Callithrix jacchus: one gene and its partner. The protein of the gene in region 2 purifies or fractionates together with the protein of the main gene of each other region. This does not show direct contact. Links are inferred from orthologs where the notes say so. Each region holds a gene or a part of one and is shown on either strand. Other genes may lie near its edges.

Region 1 (3,656 bases), on a different chromosome or scaffold from region 2:
GACAGTGGTGCTTCCAGGGCCGTGAACAGAGATACAAGGCAACGAGTGTGTTGCTAATGTTTTCTAGTGGGCTAGCTCTTGGCTGCCTTAACATGGCAGACACACCCTAGGCTAAAGCCTCCGCCATGTCAAAAACCAGGCACTGAAATTCCAGGTACTACAGTAGATCACACAGATTCTTCTTTGTATATTTGGGATATATAAAACAAAATTTCAATTGTATAGTTAAGAAACATTCAAGTTGATAAAGACCTCTGGAGCCAGCATAACAATACTATGCATTTTAACAATTTTAAATCAGAGTAGAGTTACCAAAAGTTTAAATTAATGAGCAGCTTGAGTCTGTAGAACCCACTGTGAAGTTTCTTAATATTTAAACATAGACCTGCGATTGTTCTTAGAAGTTGACCGGTGAAACCAGAGATTAAAATATGCCATTACTTGCAAAGCCCACTCTGCACAAAAGTGGAAGCACAAAGAACCTGGACTTTTTTTTTTTTCTTTTTACTTTAAAAAATATCTAGAGATAGCGTCTTGCTATGCTGCCCAGGCTCATCTCAAATGCCTAGCCTCAAGCAATCCTCTGGCCTCAGCCTCCCAAAGTGTTAGGATTACAAGTATGAGCCACCACACCAGCCAAGCCTAGGCTTTAAGAGAAAAGACCTTAACTGAAATTCTGGCTCAGAAACATACAAGCTAGGATTCAGAGAAGTTCACTGAAATTAACCCAAGCCTCAGTCTTCTCATCTACAAAATGGACATATCCTTGGTTTCATAGTTTTCAATTAGTTTGTACTCAATATTGCTGTAAGCACTGAGTGTTATTAATGTGAGACTGCTCTGTCAAAGCTGTTATAGTGCAATGCACGCGACTCCAGCTTTTTAAGCCACTACCCAACACCTGATGTGTCAGGAAGGAGCCGTGCCAAACACTTCCTAAATACATCATTTAATTGTCATGTCAACTCCCAAGTATAAGCATTAACACCCCCATTAGTGGAGGAGAAAACTGAGGCTCACAATCATTAAATAACTTGCTCCCCAGGCAGAAAGAACTGGAATTTGGCTCATCTGACTCTTACAACTCCATGCTTGAAACTCGCCACTATTCCTCCAGAAGCTGCACTCTAGATTCTGCTGCTGGGTTGGCTGATAATGATTTCTATAATCTGCCTTATGATCACTTAGAATGGAAAACAATTTTGAGATATAAAGGTGATCTTACCTGCAAAGTGTATCTGTTTTTGAAGCAGTTAGTTACCAGTTCTCCTTTAGACAACTGATATAACCATGTCAGTTTTCGGCCACTGTGGCGGCTGGCGTAGAAAGCTGTGAATCGCTGGTAACTGCGTTCCAGCTAGAGGAAAGGACAGCGTTATATGGAATACAGCCCTCACGACGTCCTACAGGCAGCCTTTCTAAGTGAAATGCACTGTTCCAAGCTTACAGTGCAAAGTCAACGCTTACATGAAAGTAAAATACAAACCCAGGTGGTGTCTGCCTCTCTTGTAAAGCACTTTAAGCACTGGAAGGTACAATCTTAAAAAAGGTTTGTGCTTCAAGACCAGCAGGTTCATCAAGGTGTTCATTACAGAACGAATTACGTTCTACTTTACAAGATAAAGACAGGTCTGTAGGGTTGGAACAGACAGCCCACCTTTAGACACCCAGACCTGCCCCACCACACAGGGCTCTTCCCTGAGTGCTGCCCCTGCGGTTCACTGTGACACAACCAGCGGGCAGGAAGGACAGCTGCAGGCCTGTCCCCTTCCACAGCGAGACAGCGAAGGCCGCCCTGCCCCACCCTCCACTGAGCACTAATGGGACGGCAGACAAACCCGTCCTTACCTCTGATGGCAAGGCGAATGTACAAGACTGCTGGAAGGGCCAGGACCCGGAGCTCAGGACTTGAATGCTGAAATCCACTGGGGAGTGGAAGAGAGGGGAGAGTGAACATTCTGGAATCCATTAATTGGTTTATAAATTGAAAAAAATCAATCATTTCAAATGTGTTGCTCTTTATTAAAAAGCACATTAAATAAAAATCCTCCTTGAATATAAAATTAAGAATTGAATATTTTATTCAATTAAAATTAGCAAAAGGTGCAAAAGCCAGATATTCTTTTATTCCAAAGAGTGACAGTCTTCATTTTGCTTCCATCTTGGAATTCTGCTGTCACATGCCTGCCCTGCTTCCCCTCCTTTGCTTTTCTGTCCTGAATCACTCAGTCCACTCGAGCCATGCCTGTGCCTGCCAGGCCCAGCATCATCACAGCCCCAAGCTCACAGAAACTCACAAGCAGAAGACCGCGAACTTCATTACAGTGCGTATATCACTTATTACTGTGAAAAGACAGACGTGATCTATAAATTATAACAGTAATTTCATCTTTGCAGATAGTTAAAAAGCCAACTGACAGAACTGTCCAGTTTAACAATGGAATTGTATTTCTGGTTTGGAAAAAATAAAGTTCTCCATTTTTCATTTAAAAAGACAAAGATTATCAAAAGATGATGTAAGCAGAAATCTGCTATCCTACTGCTATCGCAAGACCTTAAAAACCAGCCCAGCTGCCACTCCTGGAGAAATGAACCCCGACACCCTGCCTCTACTGATCCCTAATCCCAATCTGAAGCCACAAGTCTTCAGCTTGACTGTTACCTACGCAGGCCAAGTGAGTGCTAGAATAGATCCAAGCTAAGGTTTTCAACAGGAAACCCAGCTTGTGGGTCCTCCCCTAGATCCCAACAGGTGGTGGCCTTGCCGCAGGAGAGCTGACAGTGCTTCAGGAATCGCCATCTCCTACTGTCACACAGGAGTTGGGGGAGGTGGGAAGCGCCTTTGGGAGGAATCTCCTGTTTCTCAGTTCTTGAATTTCTGACAAAGCCCCTCCCGTCTTTACTTAATACTTTGTCATTTCTTCGTTTGCTACAAAGAACTCTGCCTGTGAGAGCAAGGCACAGACACGCAGGTACTCACAGTCCAGGGGTTCGGAATTTGTCAGGTGCTTTTTGAATTGCTCGTTCAGATCTTTGCTCACGCCAATGTCTTGGAACATCCGCTGAAGTTTAGAGGTATACTCGAAACCACAAGCTTGCTGAAAAGAACCCAGGTAACTGTCTTAATTTGTACAAAAATACAAATGTACACAAGGGAATCTTAGAGAAATCACAGTACACCACATATACTTAACTATACGGAACTACTAGCAAAGCTAGCCACATTTTGTTCTATGTTACAGTATAAATATGCATGGATTAAAATTAACACACTCTCAAAAAACCCCACAGATCTATGTTGTACAGTGAAGTTCATACACACGCGATTTCTGGGCATGTAAGACCAAGGTATTCTGACACTATGGTAGAATACAACGATGAAATAATTTGTCACTATCTCTTACCAGAAACTGAACTGTGTCCCCCCAAAATCCCTATGTTGAAGCCCAAACCTCCAATGCGATGCTATTTGGAGGTGATGAGGTCTTGAGGGTGGGCCCTCACGATGGGATGGGTGTGGCTGTAAGAGATGCACAAGAGCTCTGCACTCTCTACACGTGAAGGCACAGCAAGAAGGTGGGTGGCTGCCTGCAAAGCAGGAAGAGGGCCTGCCCCAGGAGCCAAATCAGCTGGCACCTTGGTCTTGGACTTGCAGC
Region 2 (4,082 bases):
TAACTGTGGTGTCTGGAAAAGGATGCAATTTATGGTCCCACTTTGGCACTGGGTATACTTTATAAAGTCCTCTGGGGATTAGGATACTGGAATTATAAGAAACTACCAGGTTTATATTTTCCTAAATCTTCCTCTTTTATTTTGCGTTTCTCAATATCACCAGAATTAGAGGACCTTGAATATTAGAATTATTTTTCTATGAATGGGAGGAGGCTTGGAAAGTTTACAATTGTTATATAATGAGGAGATTAGGAATGAGCTACACAGTCTCCTACTCCCGTAGTTCAGATTGTGGTGTATCAATTTCTCTAGTATGTCAGGCTACAGGACTTCACTGGCTCTCATCACAGCAATGTTTCCCAAATTTCAGTAACTTTGTTTATGATTCCTTTCAAATTCATGTGTCATTTTTCTTTACAAATATTGTGCTTTTAATTGGCTCACTTTTTAAATTTGCCTACTGATCTTAGATTTGTCCTAAATGTGAATGTCCATGATATCCTCGGTTTGAAGTTATAAACATCGTTTTTTCTAACAGATTAAAGAACAGCTGCAATTATTGAAGTGAAAGAGATTCATTGGCATATTAACTTAAGTTATTATTAATACTATCAGATGGCATTCAAATCACTCTGGAGAAACACTGTATGTTAGCTCCTCTTTTAATGATTTAGTCTACATGATATAGACTTGGAAAAGCTTTACCAAAGACTAGATGCTTTGCAGAGCTTTTAAGAGATACAAATAACTTTGAAAATTGAATATGTATATGGAAAGAAGAATATTTAATTAGAAGGAATTACATGCACCAAGACACAAAACTGGAATAGCATGAACTCCAAAATAGTTTAAACATTAAAGAAGTTATCCTTTTAGGTAGAAAGAGTCTGGGTTAAGCGGGATGGGCATGGTAAAACATGCAAAAAACTTACCCTGAAAATACTGAGAGTCACTGTTTTAAATAAGGAGAAGTCTCAATTAGATTTGCACTTTAGAAAGTCATTCTCAGGGTTGTAGAAATTAGAGCAGGCATTAGCAAACTTTTCTTGTTAAGAGCCAGGTAGTAAATATTTTATGATTTTTAGGTCATTTGGCCTTTGTTGCAACAACCCAACTCTTCCAGCTTGAAAACGGCCATAGATAATGTACTTAAAAAGTGTGCCTGTGTTCCAAGAAAACTGTATTGTCAAAAACAGGTGGCTATAGTTTGCCAACTCCTGAATCAGACTAAATGCAAGGAGACCCCTCGATGGTATCTAGATGCATTAGATCCATATCACAACAATATAGGCAGGTAACGAGGAGGACTTAACCTAGGCAAAAGTATTGAAGTTAGAAAGAAGAAAGAAAATTCGTTAAAAAACAAAAATTAACAGATTGAATTGTCAGTGGTATCTGGGGAAGGCAGGAGCAGGAAGAGTCCGAGAGATGAGTCCTGATTTTCTGAGTACCTATTTTGACTGAGGTATTTAAATAGAACTGTATGAAGTTGCCATTATGTAGACTGGAAATGATCAGATAGTGGCAATTTTATATGTTCAGCCTAATAGAAATTCTGTAAGGCTAAGATTAGAAAGATTATTCTTATGCAGGAAGTGGCAAAATTACCTTAAAGGGACTATTAGCAAAAATATCTGAAATAAAAATATTTAGAATAGAAGATTAAATAAAACAATTCAGTGTTGAAATGTGAATAGCTAACTAGCCCATTAAGTAAGCACAGATAAATTAGTAACCATGAAAGTCATGAAAAAATAAGTGGCTTCTTTATATACACTGTTTATCCTGCCACGTCTTCTGTTTCCCAAACACTGTTTCCTTCTTCTCCTTAACGTCCTACCTGGAAATTCAACTTTATCCTCTTCCTAGGTTTAATGTTGACCTTAGGCAGTGGGTGTTTAAACTCAAGCGTCATCCTCTGGGGCTCCGTGGTATCGTCCATGCTGAGCTGTTCAAACATCTCTTAGTCTTATTTTAGAGAGAGGTTTCATTCTTCATAATCATCCCAGTTATTTATTGACAGAAATCTTAGATAATCTGCTATTGTTTTCAGATTATTGCACCTTGAATGTACCCCTTTTCTAAAATCAGCCAGCATACAAGGAAGCCTCTTTTGCTTGGGACCTCTGTGTCAAAATCAATTTACCCAAACTATTAACACTGTATTTAACCTTCATATTTTGTGTTTTACTTGAGAGCCTTGACTTCTTTCAGCTACTGCAGCTGAGCTTTCTCCTTGCCTCCTCATTCTACATGTACCATTCAGCTAGCAGATTCAGTCTTACATGGGCTTACCTTATTGGTGCCATTTTGTTGGTGTTAATTAGAAACAGCGGAGTCCTCTCTTGGAATTCGCTAACATCTGGTGGTGCTCTAATAGTAAGCCATGTAAAAAGCTGACACTGCTTTGCATTTCAGTGTACAGGCTAACATAACAAAATACCAGCGTGGGAGATTATGATGGGAAATAATTAGGAAAAAGAGGGAGCAGAGCCAAAATTGGTTATCAATTCAGAAGGCCAAACTATCAGTCAGATATTGAGTACAACTTTCATAGATCATTCCTTAAAATATCTCAGTTCTGAGCTATCTATGGCAGAATTCTTGGAATATTAAAAAAAAAAGGATTAAACCACTGATAGTTACTCTATTTAAGTTGGTGAATTTTTCATCTCTGAGAAAAGTCTCAAAGTTTCAAAGATTACAACCTCTAGAAAGCAGTTGTTGGCTTGTTACTTCCCCTAGACTATCAAATGTGTATTCTTTCCCCAAGATTCTTTAACAAATACTTACATGAAAAATAGCCAGTAGCCAAGATAACCACAAAGAATGTTTTCATCTTTTTTTTCCATAAGGAACAGTGATTCATCCACCTGAGTTTTCTTCATCCAGAGTTTTCTAGCAAAACCCTAAAGGCTGAGTTCTCTTGATGAATCTAAGGCTATGGTTCTATTGTGAGAACCTCAGACCCCATTATGAAGTCACCTGGCAAGTAATCTATTTACATGTGGCACTTAAGGCAAAGTCACCAGTTGTCTTAGTCTGCTCTGTGTTGCTATAATTGAATACCTGAGGTTGAATTTATAAATTTATAAATAAATAGATTTATTTAGCTGACAGTTCTGAAGGCTGGCAAGTTCAAGGGGCATATGCTGCCATCTACACAGCTTCTGCTGAGAGCCTCAGTCTGTGTTCACTCCTGGTGGAAAATGGAAGGAGAGTGAACTTGTGCAAAGAGGTCACATGTTGAGGGAGAGAGCAAGAAAGAGAAGCTGAGAAAGTCAAACTTTTAAGTAACTAGCTTTAGGGAAGTAATCCATCCCCAGGAGATCTAGAACTCATCCACCCCTGAGGGAGGGCATTCGTCTACTTATAAGGTATCCACTCTAATGACCCAAACATCTTCCATTAGGCTTACCTCCCAAAACCACCACAAAGGGGGTCAGTTTAAACATGAATTTTGGTGGGGACAAATCACATCAACACCAAAGTATCAGGTCATCAAAGACCAAGGTTTCCAGGGGGAAATATTTCATCATTAGAAGTCTATAGAACTGTGGTATGACAGCATGATTTAACATTGTTTTGTTTGATGGTTTGATTATTATTCAGTTCCATGGAAGTACATTCTGCTTTTTATTTTGCAAGAAACAAATGTGAAAAAGATTAACTTAGTATGAGTAATTCTGGGGAAGGTTTTCAAAATTTACATGTTTGCCTTCTAATTCTGCTCCAGCAATGTCAAGATTCTTATTTGGTAGATACAGAGTGTGACTCAGAATTTATATATATATATATATATATATATATATAAACACACACACACACACACACAGAGTACAGTGCAGTGTTTCCTCAGTATCTGTAGGCGATTGGTTATAGTACCCTGTAAATAACCAAAATCTGTGGATGCTTAAGTCCTTTATATAAAGCGGCATAGTATTTGCATATGACCTTCACACATCTTCCTGTATATTTTAAATCATCTCTAGATTATAAGATAGGTTTGAACTTCATGGATCCACTTTTATGCAGGGTTTTTTTTTTTTCAATAAATACAATCAGCCCTTTATTTCTACAGA

What was found.
Region 1: the proteins of FBXO38 (region 2) and CUL1 purify together in Homo sapiens (affinity purification with mass spectrometry; 4 studies listed by BioGRID, with this or other methods). This does not show direct contact. The link is inferred for Callithrix jacchus from reciprocal best matches to the Homo sapiens genes FBXO38 and CUL1.

Annotation. Positions count from the first base shown.
Region 1 is NC_133512.1:98,927,763-98,931,418, forward strand, and holds part of CUL1 (cullin-1), read right to left. Parts: intron 3,099-3,656; coding exon 2,981-3,098; intron 1,926-2,980; coding exon 1,849-1,925; intron 1,358-1,848; coding exon 1,226-1,357; intron 1-1,225. UniProt on the Homo sapiens protein: Core component of multiple cullin-RING-based SCF (SKP1-CUL1-F-box protein) E3 ubiquitin-protein ligase complexes, which mediate the ubiquitination of proteins involved in cell cycle progression, signal transduction and transcription.
Region 2 is NC_133503.1:47,061,544-47,065,625, reverse strand, and holds the start of FBXO38 (F-box only protein 38), read right to left. Parts: upstream 2,911-4,082; 5' UTR 2,794-2,910; intron 1-2,793. UniProt on the Homo sapiens protein: Substrate recognition component of a SCF (SKP1-CUL1-F-box protein) E3 ubiquitin-protein ligase complex which mediates the ubiquitination and subsequent proteasomal degradation of PDCD1/PD-1, thereby regulating T-cells-mediated immunity.